Linked DNA regions of Zea mays. The protein of the gene in region 3 interacts with the protein of the main gene of each other region in a pairwise test. Links are inferred from orthologs where the notes say so. Each region holds a gene or a part of one and is shown on either strand. Other genes may lie near its edges. The genes, in order: AGG2, Coleoptile phototropism protein 1 and guanine nucleotide-binding protein subunit beta.

Region 1 (5,132 bases), about 4.9 Mb from region 3:
TGGTGCTCAAATCGGCACCAACAATATAATATTACGCATGGTATTGTTTAAAAAAGCATGCACACATACTCCACCGTAGATGTATGTACACATACGTACTAATATACATGTACGTCCAATATAGCAAAACAAAAACAGGCCTTGGGTAAGCAAGCAGGAGTACGACATGCCCCATACGCTGATACGCTCACAGGAAACCGTGTGAAGATTACACGTCTGTGTATATCAATCAATCGTAATTCGGGGAAAAAAACATGCCTTCTTGGTCACAGCAAAGAGTCAGCTGCCATCGTACTGGAGCGGTCTGGCGGTGGCCTGGCGATGTCAGATTTCTATTTCCCCGCGCATGCAAGCGAGCAGGTAAAAATGTTAGGCTGCAGCAGCGCGTACAAGCCAGAGTCGTGCTCCCGCAGGCAACCAATCACTAGCTCACACACGGTCAACGCTGACATGAATATGGCGAGCAGGGTAACCAATCACGTGGATTATGTAAGTTCCCACGCCATGGTACAATAATTTGAAATGTTAGTAGCACAAGGATCACAGAAAAGTAAGGCATTTGGGTTGGATAAACACAAAACAAACTGATTGCCAGTCAACAAGAGTTCAGTTCAGTCTACAGAGAACATGTTAGGACAAAGTTTGTCACTTTTGAATTCCAGATTTCTGTCCTCACTTCTCAGGCCATTTCCTGAGTCCTTCACGCCTTACACGGATCTTTGGATGATGCCATCCAGAATCCTCGCCTCAAATGGATACTGGTTATACTGCGGGGACAAAAAAAATGATGTACACTTGAATGGTAGCAAGAATCGCCTCTTGCTGTTTCTCTTGATAATATTGCCCAGTATCACAAAAACCAGCATTTGCATCCGCGCAGATCTTGAGGACCTTCAAACCACCTATCCCAGGACTGATTCACAGGTCCAGCAGATCTGCAACAACAGGGGAAACGAAAAACAAACAAACAAGCAAAGGCAATATTGTGAATATATCAGTTAGATGTTTGGATAAAAAGCAACATAAGTAACTTTTTCGCTTCTCTTACACAGGAAGTAGAGGGTCAGCTTTTCTTTCCATTGCTATTAGAAACCTGGCCACGTAAAACAGCCCAGTCAATCTCCAGCAACAAGCCATATAAAAATTGCCTTCAGATCATAAGCACCATAGCAAAATGCTGGGTTTAAATCACATTTCTTCTGCAGGTGACACGTACTCTTGCAACGCAGATGATACCTTATCCGCTTTATCGAGCTCTTCAAGTTCCTCCTGCACTCAATCGCACTGACGCATCAGTGTTTGAAAACTGAGAACATCACTACTTAGGTAAGGGTGGAAAACTACAACAGCTTAGATAGTAATTACATCTTTGCCACTTGTGCATAGTTATTATGTACTCCCTCCGTCCCAGGATATAAGGCGTAACCACCTCTGGTTCAAAGACCAAGAAATGCATTTAATTGTCTCTATACCACTGCATCGATATACGTATGCATAGAGAGAGCACGCCTTATATTGTGGGACAAGAATAAAAAGTGGTTACGCCTTATATCTTGGGACGGAGGGAGTATTAACAAAAGGAAAAAAAACTTTGACAGATCTGACGATAATGTCCAGAACGCAGAGGAAATGTAGTCTACAGCACTGATATTGATAAATTTATTATGTGGTTAGTTGGTAATGTGTAGCTTTGCTTATTTGCGTATATGTTGTGGGCCAGGGCATAAGCTGAAGATTCAGAAACAAAAATGACAATTGAAGATGCTCTTTATATGTACACAAAGATGCTACAGGATGGGCCATGTGGACAGTAAATCGATAATCCAATCTCTACCTGAATGGAAATGATAACGGCCAAAAACAATGCAGACGAATCATCACAATTTGGCCAAAAAAGTGAAGCTTATGATAAGTTGTCTATATCACATTCACAAGTAAAACTTGTGGAAAATGTTATTTTCTGGAAGGTCTGATGATCTATCTGTCGGATCCAGGCTGTTGATTAATAAAAAACAGAGGGAGCAGGAATGACCATGCTGCATTACTACATGCTTGGAAGGTACAGTATGTCCATCACTTGATGGTATCTGCTGGTATTTCTGCTTCAGAAAGACTGCAGCTCGTAGATGTCAATGGAAGGATTTCACCATATAAAGAACTAGGATGCTATTAAAAGTTATCAAGACTCGACAGTTCTACATGCTTTTAAACTTGCATGAATTCTTCGGTGCCTTATAAACATATAAACAAATATTTCAGCAAAAAAAAAAAAAACAACAACGTCAAACAAGCAAACAGTAATGTTCAAGATATGTCCCTTGCCCAACATACAAGTTTACCATAAGACATTGCTGAGCCAACATACGAGCTTGTCAGTTATTATTAGCTGCTTAGCTTCATGGCTCCAGCTTCAGAATGTCAAAGATAAATAGATAATGCATATATAAATGGTAGCAGGCTCTATGTCCTTAATAAAATCACTTTCGCTGATCTTGCTGCTCAAGTATACTTATTAGAAAAGAAATATGTTCTGCTTTATAAATGGTTTTAACCAACACTGCTATGTGCTGTCCCACAAATAAGTACATATATTTAAAGTACAGACGCTGCATCTCAGAAACTAGAAAACAGGTTCCCATGGCCACAGGTCCCCCCACCCACCCACCCAGAAAGGAGCATCACCACGCCTCATCAGAGGTTTCAGTCTTCAGTACACTGTCCCCAATCATTTGGTGCAGAAGAATCAGTAGGGTTTTCGACTACAGACTGCAATATATCTATCAAGGCATAAAACTCCAACTAGTCGGACAGAAAGAGCTACTCCGCGTTTGTCCCCATCAGAAAAAAGGCCCACACAACGGAACGGAAAAATGAATATTCGCAACAAGCACATTGTTGCAGCAGGACAAGGCAGGAAACAAAGAGCACATGGAGCTTGCACTTGCACATGCACATGGCTGCTTCTCCCAACCCAGACCCACCTGCACCTCCACGAGGAAGGAACGCAGGAAAACGCGGGTCTTGGGAAACCATAGCAAGAAAAGATGTCCCTAACTTCCCATGGCCATTATTTCCTCATGGATCATAAGAGGGAGAATATGAATCTCGGAAATTATGCCACGGATTGTTCTAGACTGTTCTGCATACTTTGACCATTGGGCTAGAAAGCAGCATGCTTGGCCGAATTCGGTGGGATGGATACTCCCTACCCCTGCATTTCAGGAGATCATACCACCAAGAAGTCCTCTGAAAAGGAGTTTTCCTTTTTGCGATGATCAATTCTTTTTGGAACACAGCCAAGCCAGCATAGTACGCACTAACGCTATGGAATCGACGAGGCAGGAAGCGAGTTCATGGGGGGAGGGGAGACAGGGGCACACACCTCGAGGAAGCGCGCCTCCTGCTCGAGCTTCTTGAGCTCGGCCTGGATCCGGTGGCGGCCCCGCAAGTCCGCCGAGTCCCCACCGCCGTCCCCGACCTGCATCGCCGTCCGATGAGCGGGAGAGGGTTGGTGCGATCCAGTGAGGCGCAAGGTAACTGGCAGGCACAGCGGAAGCGTGAGTGGGTTGGGGAAGCGAGCAGGCGGAGAGGAAGAAGACGAGGAACTGTCACGGAATGCGGGTGGCCAGACCAGAAAGGTTCTGCCTTTTTTTTTTTTTTGAACAATTGGATCTATACCATTAAAAGATCCAAACTTTAGATATATACCATGGACCTCACATGTCATTGACTCATGTGGACCCACATGTAAGTGAGATAGTAATGGTATGGATTCAAAGTGGTGATCTTTTAATGGTATGAATCCAAATTTCCCTTTTTTTTGGTTAACGTGAGAGGTTTGGGCTCTGACAGTGGAGGGTTTATTCTAACAACTGTACTAGAGTACTAGACCAAGTGACCAACTCCCACTCTCCCACTCGGTTATCCTGTCCGTTTCTTCCTCCAATTCTTTTCCTTTTCCAGTTTTCATTTTTTAAAATAATATAAAGTACTAATTAAATCGTTCTTTACTAGCTATTGTCGTATATTTCGATTATGAGATTTGACAGATTATGAGATTTGACAAATGAATGTCAAAACAACTTTTCTTAATGGAAAACTAGATAAGGATGTGTATATGATACAACCCGAGGGTTTTGTCGATCCGATCAATGCTGGAAAGATATGCAAACTTCAGAAATCTATTTATGGGTTGAAGCAAGCATTTCGGAGTTGGAACATTCATTTTGATGAAGTGGTTAAAGGGTTTGGTTTTCATCAGAATGAAGAAGCTTGTGTTTAAAAGAACGAAAGTGGGAGCGCTGCTGTATTTCTGATCTTGTATGTGGATGACATATTATTGATTGGGAACGATATTCCTATGCTGGAGTCCATCAATGTTTCACTGAAAAAGAGTTTTTATATGAAAGATTTAGAGAAAACAACATATATTTTGGGCATAAGGATCTATAGAGATAGGTCGAAGTGGCTTATAGGATTAAGTCAAGATACATACATTGACAAGGTATTAAAATAGATCAACATGGAATAGTCCAAGAAAGGGTTCTTACCTATGTCACATCGTATACACCTTATGAAGAAGCAGTGTCCTACAACAGCTAATGAGCGAGAGCGCATGAGTAAGGTATCGTACGTCTCGGCAATTGGATCAATCATGTATGCCATGATAAGTACACACCCAGATGTTTCATATGCTATAAGTGCTATGAGTAGGCACTAGACTGATCCAAGTGAGGATCACTAAACAACGGTAAAAGGCATTCTTAAGTAATTGAGAAGGACTAAAGATATGTTCATGGTATATGGGGGTTCGGAGGAGCTCGTTGTAACTGGTTACACCGATGCTAGCTTCTAAACTGATCCAGACGAGTTAAAATCGCAATCAGGTTTTGTGTTCATAATAAATGGTGGTGTTGTTAGCGGGAAGAGTTCCAAGCAGGAGACTGTGACTGATTCTACAACAGAAGCCAAGTACATTGCAGCTTCTGAATTTGTGAAGGAAGGTGTTTGGATACGGAAGATCCTCATCGAGCTTGCTGTGTTTCCTAATGCCTCTAGTCCATTGAACATCTAATGTGACAACAATGGGGCTATTGCGCAAGCTAAGGAGCCAAGGAATCACCAGAAAAGCA
Region 2 (5,132 bases), on a different chromosome or scaffold from region 3:
CTCCTCCAGCGCGCCGCCGTGCGGGCCGTCCTTGGTGAGACCCGGGAGCCATTTGGATGCGTAGTGGGTGATGGACGCGCCGATGAGATCGAACCGCATGCCTACCACAAAGAGAAAGAGGCAACGAACAGGAAATTGTTTCGATTACTAGCTTCACTCACAAATGATAAAGTAACAATGTTGTGTATCATCAATAATTCCTCTTTATTATGCTGATACGACACAAGAGTACCATAGGTAAAAAAAAAAATAGATGAAAAGAAGAAAAAAGATAGAGCACGAAGTGGAGGCCAGAGTCACGTTAATATTGGGTGCAGTTTAATTACTAACACACACATGGTTTATATTACTTTCATTTTAATTTATAATTTGTTTGACTTTTTTAGTCGAGTTTGATCAGCTCGTCTTATTACTAGCACACACACAATTTATTTCTCACATGAGGCTTTGCTTGAGTACTCTAGTATTTAGATCAATACACATGTATTAAGGTGCATTGAAATGTAAATTAGTTTAACTTACACTTTAGGGTTTGTTCGGTTAGCTCTCAATTCATGTGGATTGAGTGAGATTGGATAGGTTCGAATCTCAAATAAGTCAAATTTATTCTTATTTTTTTCCAATCATATCTAACCCATGTGTATTGGGAATAACCGAACAAAATTCTATTCAATCCATGTGTATTGGGGCAACTGATGCAAATTATGTTCAGAGTCTGTTGGTTTATTTGGTGCTGATGGGCAAATGGAAGGGTCTCCGTGCGTCCCATTCCCACGGCCCACGTCGGCGGCGATCTGATCCTACCGGCCGGCATCTCCCTCCAAATAGAATGGAAAGGACGATGTGACGGCTTGCCACTCAGAGCGTTGTGGCTCCAACATTCCAACATCAACGAAACCGCCAATGAAAACAACAGCTGGCGTAATTTGCACTGGTTCTGAAAGCTAATGGAACTGGAAGGCTAGTTTAATTTTATCTCGTTTTCATGTAGAAGTTGAATAAAAAAATTTCTACCGTTTGGTTTCACGGGATTCATCAAATTGATTTGGTACCAAATTAAGGGGAAGACACACATATATGGTGACCAGGAGTGAAGCCGGGGCCCAGCTTCACTGTCGACGGCAGCTCATGTGATTGTGCCAGTGTCTTGGGCTCTTGGCACAGCTTGAACAATGCACACTGTGCTCCACTGTTCATGACACTTGCGCCATAAAACTATTTTGTTTTTTGTTTTCCCTCACATGCATGCGCGCAGATAAGAATGTTGTTTTCTCGACAGGGAGGAACATTGAACGGTACTAATAATCCGTGCTGCACTCATGTAGCTGGATCAGTACGTGAATGGTCCATCGATCTAGCTGTTAGCTAGCTAGTACTAGTACTAATCAGAGTTTTTTTTTGTGTGTGTGTGGAAGGAGATACTAATTGGAGATAATACCTTCTTAAACATGAGCATTAATATAAGATACAGTGTGATTAAGCTAGCGGTCGATCGCTATGGTACGGTACCTTTGACCTTGATGGCGGTGACGACGCGCACGAAGTGGTCGATCCGGAGCATGGACACGTCCTCGAACCACCAGTCCGGCGGCGGCACGGCCTGCCGGCTCGGGCTCGACTCCTTGGAGTCCCCGCCGCCGCCGCCGAGGTTCCACCGGGGGCTCGCCGTGCCGCCGCCGGCGCCTGCCCTGGTGGTCGGCATCGGCCTCCCCCCACCGCCGCCGGTGTAGGCCCAGCGCACGCCCCGCGGGTTGGCGCAGGCCTTCCAGGCGATGGACTCGCTGCAGCGGCGCACGATCTGCAGGTTCTCGGCCCAGGGCGAGAGGCCCTCGCAGGTCTTGAGCACCACGATGGAGTCCCGCCACGACGACAGCACCACGTAGCTGAGGAACGCCTCCGTCTTGAAGATGAGGTTGCCTTCCTCCAGCTCCTCCGTCATCTCCAGGTACTCGGCGGCGCAGCGCAGCCCCGAGATGTTGCCCGCCGTCAGGTCCACCGCCATGCCGTAGCAGAACCGCGCCGCCAGCTCGAACGAGTCCGCGCCGCCCGGGACGTCGTCCAGCTCCACCACCACCGCCGCCGCCGCGCCCGAGTCCGGGGCCGCCGCCGCCGTCTCGTAGATCACGCGGCTCATCCGCCCGCTCCGGGAGATCATCGGGTACTGCGGGCATCAGGGGTGCAGGCGCGCGCGCGTGCGCATGCATATATTGGATATGAATATGATCGTGTGGTTGCAGCTAGCACGACGTACGGGAACAATAAATTATGAAATAATTAACAAAGCCACTAGCAGCTAGCTACCTTGTGAAGGTGGAAGCTAACATCTCCAACTTTGACAAGCAAATCGCTGGGAATATCGCTGTTTACATACCTGCTCAAAATCATTCGCTCGGAACGGTGAACATCAACTTTAATTAATTAGCACTAAAATTATATACATGGATGAACGAAGTATATAGCTAGCTAGCTAGCTAGCTAGATGTACCAGGACTGGTCTCTTCGAACAAAGCCGTCGTTCTTGAGCGCTGCCTCGTACCGGCCCGAGGAGCCGCCGCCGCCGACAGGGACGAGCCCGCGCTCGCGCTCACCGGCATGGCAATCGCCCTCTGACTCCCACATCGTCTTCAATCGACGCTCGCCTCGCCTTGACTGAACGACTACAGAAGCTTGTGTGTGTGCGTGTATATAGCTCTCTCCGGGGTGCTCTCTCTCTCTCTCTCTCTATATGATATTCATGAAAAGAAATGGACAGACGAGCAAACTTGTCATTACTACTGCCTTCATTTGGTTCCAGATAAGAAGTCATTTTTTTAGTTAAAATATCTCTAATTTGACCAACACACTATAAAAATTGCATTGACAAAGGTCAAATCGGAGATACTTTAGCTTTCAAAAAATATTAAATGACTTATGATTTAGAAATTTAAATGGATTATAACTTAGAGTGGATGAAGTAAGGTAGTCCAATTTAAGAAACTAAAATGGTTACTTCATATGGAAACTGCGCGAGTGCACGCGGATGGGAGATGATGAATAAGCAGCAGCACTGCAGCAGGGTACTGCAGCCGTCCTGCTCTCGTTGTCGTTGCAACTGTGTATGTAGTACTCCCTCCCCTTCCTTGAAAATGTAGTTAAATTTTAAAGTATTTGATTTCGTAAAAGTACAAGATGTATACATGTTTTACGATGGTGGAAAGTAGGTGTTGATTTACGATTGACAATACCAGCAGCGGCTGATGCTGCTGCTAGCCACTCGCTATATGGCAGTGGAGAAGCGACTTCCATACAAAAGGAGCACTATTTTTTTTTGACAACGGGAAACCCCCTATTTCATTAAAAAATAGAAACCGATCACAGTTCTTACAAAATTCCCGACTTAACCAACAACTGCAAGCCGATAAGCCTACTACATTATCAGCTACGCAGTGTTATAAAATCCAACTGAAGGAACATAGCAAACCAGAAGTAATCTGAAAGACTAACAGTCATCTATGGAGATCAACTAGGGACAGTTCCCAAAAGCAGCCTGACCCGCCAATACCAGCGACGACTAAAGCTAGTTTTTATCTACCAAAGCAGATAAGCTGAATACATCCAAGAACAAAAAGATGCATAAGCAGCAGCAAAATGTCACTGGAGGCGTCTATCGACCGGCTTCCAACCATATATTTTAATTACATCATTTTTTATGATAGTAATCATGTTTAAGCTGCTTAACATGATTATTAGGTATTATTGTAGTACAAATATCATAAAAAATGATAAATAAATATTAAATAACTTGCTTATAATGTATAGGGGAATGGTTGAAGATGGAGAGGTCTAAGATGTAATAAGATATAATAGAAAGTATAGGTAAAGGGAGATGAATATGGGGAATAGCTCGTGATATAACCCGAGCTGGACTTCTACTCCCTCTGTCATAAAATAAATCTACATATCTCGCATTTGAAAACAGTTAAATAATCTAAACTTCGATCAAATATATGTTAAAACTATTAATATTCATGGTGCTAGCTATATAGTCACTATTGAATTAACGGCATCATATCTTTTATAGTAACGGACGTACAGATATCGATACTGATATCTATAAATATAATTAAAGTTGAGGTTGATTATTTTGTCGAAATATGAAATAAAGACTTTTTCTTTTTGAAGGGAGGCTAGCCAGCAATAGCAAGCAAGTAGAGGGTGGCCGGATGGATATAGGCCGGCGGGAGAGAGGAGAGGGGGAATAGGTGTGTATCTCGGTTGGTTGGTGCTGCTGATTATTGGATCTGGATCGTACGTCGCGCGAGCGAGTGCGGGCGCCGGTCGTCGATCGATCGTAGGCTCATAGGTTATGGGGCCGTGGTTCGTCGAGGAGCTAGCGATGGAGAGAGCACATGGGGTGTTTTGCTCTCGGCGTTGGACGACCTAGCGAGCTGCTCCTGATAGCACGTACTCGGATATGGTGGTCACCGCGCTCACCACCAGGCACCAGCTGCCTGCTTCTCCTCCTCGTCGTTACCTGCAGACAAATAGGTAGCCAGCAGATCGAGAGGTCTCGGATCAGCCGCTCTCCGGTATATGCGCTCCATCGCTAATCTGTTTAGCCTCCCAACAAGCAAGGATTATACATTGCTTCGCGCGCCTTGCTTCGTGCCATCATATGAATACAGTACCAAAATCCGACTCGAGTACTTTGCGCTTTACCGAGTGATAAAACAATTCTTTATTATATAAAGTTTATTCACTAATTTTAAAACATATAATTTTTACAACTTATAGCAAACAAGCAACCCTAACTTTTAGCAGCCTAAGTTATTTTCGATGGCCACGTGGAAACCGTTAGAAACGAGATGCTTAGTTTCATTGGTCATGTCTCAGCCACCAAAAATAATATTATTTTTGATGGCCACGTGGAAACCGTTAAAAACGAGATGCTTAGTTTTATTGGTCATGTCTCAGCCACCGAAAATAATATTATTTTTGATGGCCACGTGCTAGCCGTAAAAAAACGCTGTCAAAAATAACACTTCCCCGCATCATGCACATCAAGCACATGAGATTTGTCGATCCATAATTGTTTATTATTTGGATAGCCTCCAAGTGGTCTATGTAGCATGATATTTATGACGAGATATTTG
Region 3 (5,132 bases):
GAGGGCCATTTAACTAGAGCAGAACACCTCATCATGTTGCTAAAGTTATGAAAACTTTTGGAGACATGGACTTCCACCTGTTCGAAGATGCATAATTGCATATATTTGGATTTTGCGGTGATTCTTGGAAATTCAGCACTTCAGCTATCTGTGTAGGGTACTACTTGCAAAATTGCTGCATCAAATGGTTTAGTGGTATTCTATTAACTCCTAAGTCATCAATCATCACAGGTATATTCTCTGGATTGGACCCCTGAAAAGAATTGGATAGTCAGTGCCTCTCAAGATGGAAGGTTAATTGTGTGGAATGCATTGACAAGCCAGAAAACACATGCCATAAAGCTGCATTGCCCATGGGTTATGGCGTGTGCTTTTGCACCCAATGGCCAATCTGTCGCCTGTGGTGGTCTTGATAGTGCGTGCTCTATTTTCAATCTCAATTCTCAAGCAGACAGAGATGGGAACATGCCAGTATCAAGAATTCTTACTGGACACAAGGGCTATGTCTCATCATGTCAATATGTCCCAGATCAGGAAACACGTCTTATTACTAGTTCAGGTGATCAAACATGTGTTCTTTGGGATGTTACTACTGGACAGAGGATATCAATATTTGGTGGTGAATTCCCATCAGGGCATACAGCTGATGTTCAAAGGTAATTGGTAGTGCTTCTGATTTTTTGAAGACTGAATATTTTAGTGCCATGTGTAGCGCTTCTGATTTCTCTCCTCAAAGTTAATTGGTATCTTCTCATTTGTACATTTTTAACTTAGGCTGGTGCACACTAGGTTGCTAGCTTTACCAATATGTCAATGTTCGATGATCAAATTATCCCTATTGCTTCTAAAGTTTTCTTTGTAAACTGAATATTATTCATGTGGATTTGAATAAAGTTTACCTACAATGACTGGTTTGTATTTGTCTGCTGTTACAGTTGGACAATGAAAACGTACTTTTTAGTACTGAATGTAATTTTAGTAATAACAAGTACTCCTTCCATTCCAAATTGTTGGTATTTTAGTTTGTCATAAATCAAACTTCTCTATTTGTGCAGCAGTTCTAGTTACCCAAAACACTGTTTTGCACTGTAGACTCTACTATTCACAGAGTAGAGTTTGACTATGAGTATGGGTATGGGTAAACTGCTGGAGATAGCCTTAGGTAACTGTGTGTGTATTCTCTCCTGTAATGGGCTTTGGCCCACATACTCTGCTATACTAATACATTCCCAACCCACATTAGGGTTAGGGTTTCAGTGCATTTAACACTATTTACTAAGTTTATTGAAAATGCACCAATATCTACAATATCAGATTAGTTTCATTGATCCACCATGAGATATGACTTGGTAGTGCATTTTTCCACTCTCTGACCCAAATTATAGGTCGTTTTGGCTTTTCAATTTTTGCTATATAGCTAGATATACAATATGTCTAAATACATAATAGAGGTTATGTATCTACAAAATCCAAAACAACCTATAAATTGAAATGGATGGAGTATTTGGTATTGTGTGCGCATGTGCGTGCTTGTTGGACCGGAGGTGGAGTGGTAAGGTCTTCACATGGTAGCACAGTAGGCATTTGGATAACACTCTTGCCTAAGATTGCTGATATTACATCACTTATTATGGATGCAATTGCCCTAGTACAATTGGGCACTACTTACCAACTAGTCTAGCAGACGCATGTGCAAAATATGTTGTCTATGCAGCAAATACATGAACCAAAGTAACATATGGTAGCACATTTATGTTGCGTTTTTTAACTGAAAGTGCTGGTTTATCAGGTTATCATTGATATTTGGAGTTTGGTTTTGAATTCTCTGACCTTTCCCTTTCTTGTTCAGTGTGTCCATCAACTCATCAAATACAAATATGTTTGTCTCTGGCTCATGTGATACAACTGTGAGGCTGTGGGATATCAGAATTGCAAGTCGAGCTGTTCGAACCTACCATGGACATGAGGATGATGTTAACAGTGTGAAGTTTTTCCCTGATGGCCATAGGTTTGGTACTGGCTCAGATGATGGCACATGTAGATTATTTGATATGAGAACAGGGCATCAACTTCAGGTGTACAGTAGGGAGCCTGATAGAAATAGTAATGAACTACCTACTGTTACATCTATTGCATTTTCAATATCAGGAAGGCTACTTTTTGCTGGTTACTCCAATGGTGACTGTTATGTGTGGGACACACTTCTCGCCGAGGTTTGCATTTTTACCATTTACCATGGATTGAATACAGCTTATTTTATATTACAAAGGAAAACTAATGCCCATAATCAACAAGTTACTGGTACACTTTACTGTTTCGCCACGGTTTTCTTAATCGAGAAAAATATGACATACAGTTCACTTGGTGTGAGCCACATAAATTCAATGTTAGGCAATCAGTTAACACTAGTGATATAATCTTTATGTTAGATAAGCATAACTCCATTGCCAGTCAGTAGCAATATAAGCATACAAATGCGAAATCTAGCCACGGGAGAAAGCAATGGAATATGATGAACTAACTGCCTAAATTTTTATTTGAAATGCTCCTCAGCAACTATTGCAATTGCATGAATTGATGTTTGCATTGGACCCAGGACCTCATGAATAAGTAACCTAGCCTCGGTTCCTTCCATATTAGTCCACATATATCATCAACCTAGACTAGGCAGGTCATGCATACAAATTTAGAGGATGCTGCTGCAGATCACCTTGTATTGTATCAAGAGATTCCTAGTTAGTGCTATATGCCAAGAGGTTTAGAACGTTGGTTTTGATTTAGGCCAACTTAATGGATAATTGTATACCTGCATTTAAAAGCTTATCTGAGTTCAAGTTATTGTGAAGGCTTGTCGGTCACCTCCGTTATTTTTTATCTGTTTGTCATTATTGTTTATAGTACCTTCTGTTGTCAATTTCCGTTGAAATTTTGCAGGTGGTACTTAATTTGGGAAACCTGCAAAACTCCCATGATGGCCGTATAAGTTGCCTCGGGATGTCATCTGATGGGAGTGCATTGTGTACAGGAAGCTGGGACAAAAATTTGAAGGTAAGGACACTTAAGAAAGATCATTTTCATTGACTGCTTCCTCAGTTTTGTTGAATTGTTGCCTTTGACACTAACAGTTTTACTCTAACTGAAGTAGTAGTTGTACTACATGCATACTCAGCTTATGCTGTTTGTTAAACCCTACTCAAAGTGAATACCTTTCATTAGAGTACTCTGGTTAAATCTTTACTTGGTATTGATGACGAATACTCTTTGGATTGAAATACGGTACTTCTTAGTTCTTGGTACCTAGGATGGAATAATGGATTATACTCTTCTTTTTCCCCACTCTTAGCATATTCTATCACTAATCCTGAGAATTCCCAGATAAATAGTAGTTTGGTGCAAATTTCAGTATTTTTTATATCGATGGTGTCAATTGTTGAAAATTTACAGATTTGGGCCTTCAGTGGACACCGGAAGATAGTTTGAAGGCCAACTTTTCTCCCCCATGTTGTATGTTCCTTGTTGCCCCTTAACAACGGACAGTGGTGATTGGTGACCAACTCGACTTGTTCCTGGGAATCCCTTTGTTGTTTTGTAAGCTCTGTTCGCGCTATGTTTAATGGAAAAATGTGCAATTTGTCAGTGTCACGGCGCTACATCTTGTTGAGTTGGTAACTGTTTATACTGTTATTACGAGAATATCAGTAACGTGTGATCTGCCCTTTTCTTTGTACAACCGTTTGATCTTTTCAGGTTTTGTGAAGTAGCATGTATTTCCTTAATCAATTTATCATATCAGTTTGTCCATTTGCTGAATTAAGAACATTAGCTTAATGGGGCGTACTATATGCATTTTATGTTTAGTAATCACCACACTTTTGAAGCATGAATTTCTTTGTGCATCCTCCTCCCTCCCTTTGCCCCAGCGACTGGCGAGCAAAGAATGGGGCGTGCAGGATTCAAACTTTGCCTCACTTCCTTCCCTGGGGCTAGTTTGGGAACTATTTTTTAAGTGATTTCTATTTCTCCAAGAGAAAATAAACTAATTTTCTTGGAAAAATGTAAATCCTTTGGAAAATGGGGTTCTCAAACTTGCCTTTTCATATCCACTTGTCTTGTATAAAGAAAAAAATATTATAAATAATCATAATAATGCACTGGCAACTAACTACAAAATACTAGTATTTAATATATGTGCATGAGGCAAGGCGAAGCAAATGTTTATCTTGAGTGTACTCTCGAAGTCATAAAATAATAATAATAAATAAATGTACATGATGCGAGGCGAGGGAAACATCAAATATCAAAACTGTTGTTCCAGGTATGCATCTTTCATTGACTTGTCATTCCCACTAAGAACCCAGCCAAACTCCCAGAAACGTCCATGACCCAGGAGACGCTGCGAGCCAACCGAACCTTAGGCTGAGTCCACCCTCTCGCCCCTGCCACGTCAGCTCTCGCCTCCACTCTCGCCCCGGCTGCTCCAGTGCACAGGCTGCAGCAGGCTACAGCCTCAGGCTATAGCCACGTCAGCTTTTCTATTTCAGAATTAAGTAATTCACGCGGATTTATTTCAACGCTGAGAAAACACACAACATAATATTTTTTATTGAATTAAAAATTACAAAGTACGTAATAATTAAAATAAAATAACATGATAATTAAAATAAAATTACAAAGTATATATAGAGGGATTGGGGATGAAATTTGTGATATTTTGCAATTTTTTTCGAATTTTTTGGGCTCCAAACGGTCAAAAACGGCTAGTTGCAACGGCTAGCACACGTGGACCAATCAGATCGCGACACGTGGACCAATCAGATCGCGTCACGTCGCTCTCGCCCGCGCTCTCGCCCCGCCAGTGCCTCGCCTCCCTCTCGCCTCCCTCTCGCCCGCCTCTCGCCCAGGCGAGCGCTCCAGCGCGGGCGAGAGCGAGGCGATATCGCCCGCTCTCGCCGGGCGCCAGCGCCATCGCCCGGCGCCGGCCTCTCGCCCGCCTATCGCCCGCGCGCGGGCGGCAGCGGCCTCTTCTCGCCCGCGCTGCCGCCCGCACTGGCACCAGCCTTAGGAGTCGATGACACTTCTAAGCTCTGTTCTTCAAGCAAGATGTCCAACCACCTCTTTAACATATATTCTTT

The links.
Region 1: the proteins of guanine nucleotide-binding protein subunit beta (region 3) and AGG2 interact in a two-hybrid assay, tested with the Arabidopsis thaliana proteins (2 studies listed by BioGRID, with this or other methods). The link is inferred for Zea mays from reciprocal best matches to the Arabidopsis thaliana genes AGB1 and AGG2.
Region 2: the proteins of guanine nucleotide-binding protein subunit beta (region 3) and Coleoptile phototropism protein 1 interact in a two-hybrid assay, tested with the Arabidopsis thaliana proteins (2 studies listed by BioGRID, with this or other methods). The link is inferred for Zea mays from reciprocal best matches to the Arabidopsis thaliana genes AGB1 and NPH3.

What each region holds. Positions count from the first base shown.
Region 1 is NC_050096.1:259,635,249-259,640,380, reverse strand, and holds AGG2, read right to left. Parts: upstream 3,602-5,132; 5' UTR 3,485-3,601; coding exon 3,383-3,484; intron 1,270-3,382; coding exon 1,217-1,269; intron 1,094-1,216; coding exon 1,049-1,093; intron 936-1,048; coding exon 851-935; 3' UTR 545-850; downstream 1-544. UniProt on the Arabidopsis thaliana protein: Guanine nucleotide-binding proteins (G proteins) are involved as a modulator or transducer in various transmembrane signaling systems.
Region 2 is NC_050100.1:178,902,770-178,907,901, forward strand, and holds the start of Coleoptile phototropism protein 1, read right to left. Parts: upstream 2,622-5,132; 5' UTR 2,620-2,621; coding exon 2,486-2,619; intron 2,372-2,485; coding exon 2,302-2,371; intron 2,162-2,301; coding exon 1,510-2,161; intron 102-1,509; coding exon 1-101. UniProt on the Arabidopsis thaliana protein: May act as a substrate-specific adapter of an E3 ubiquitin-protein ligase complex (CUL3-RBX1-BTB) which mediates the ubiquitination and subsequent proteasomal degradation of target proteins.
Region 3 is NC_050096.1:264,530,604-264,535,735, reverse strand, and holds the end of guanine nucleotide-binding protein subunit beta, read left to right. Parts: exon of another isoform or gene 1-231; coding exon 232-656; intron 657-1,849; coding exon 1,850-2,213; intron 2,214-2,934; coding exon 2,935-3,048; intron 3,049-3,444; coding exon 3,445-3,480; 3' UTR 3,481-3,791; downstream 3,792-5,132. UniProt on the Arabidopsis thaliana protein: Guanine nucleotide-binding proteins (G proteins) are involved as a modulator or transducer in various transmembrane signaling systems.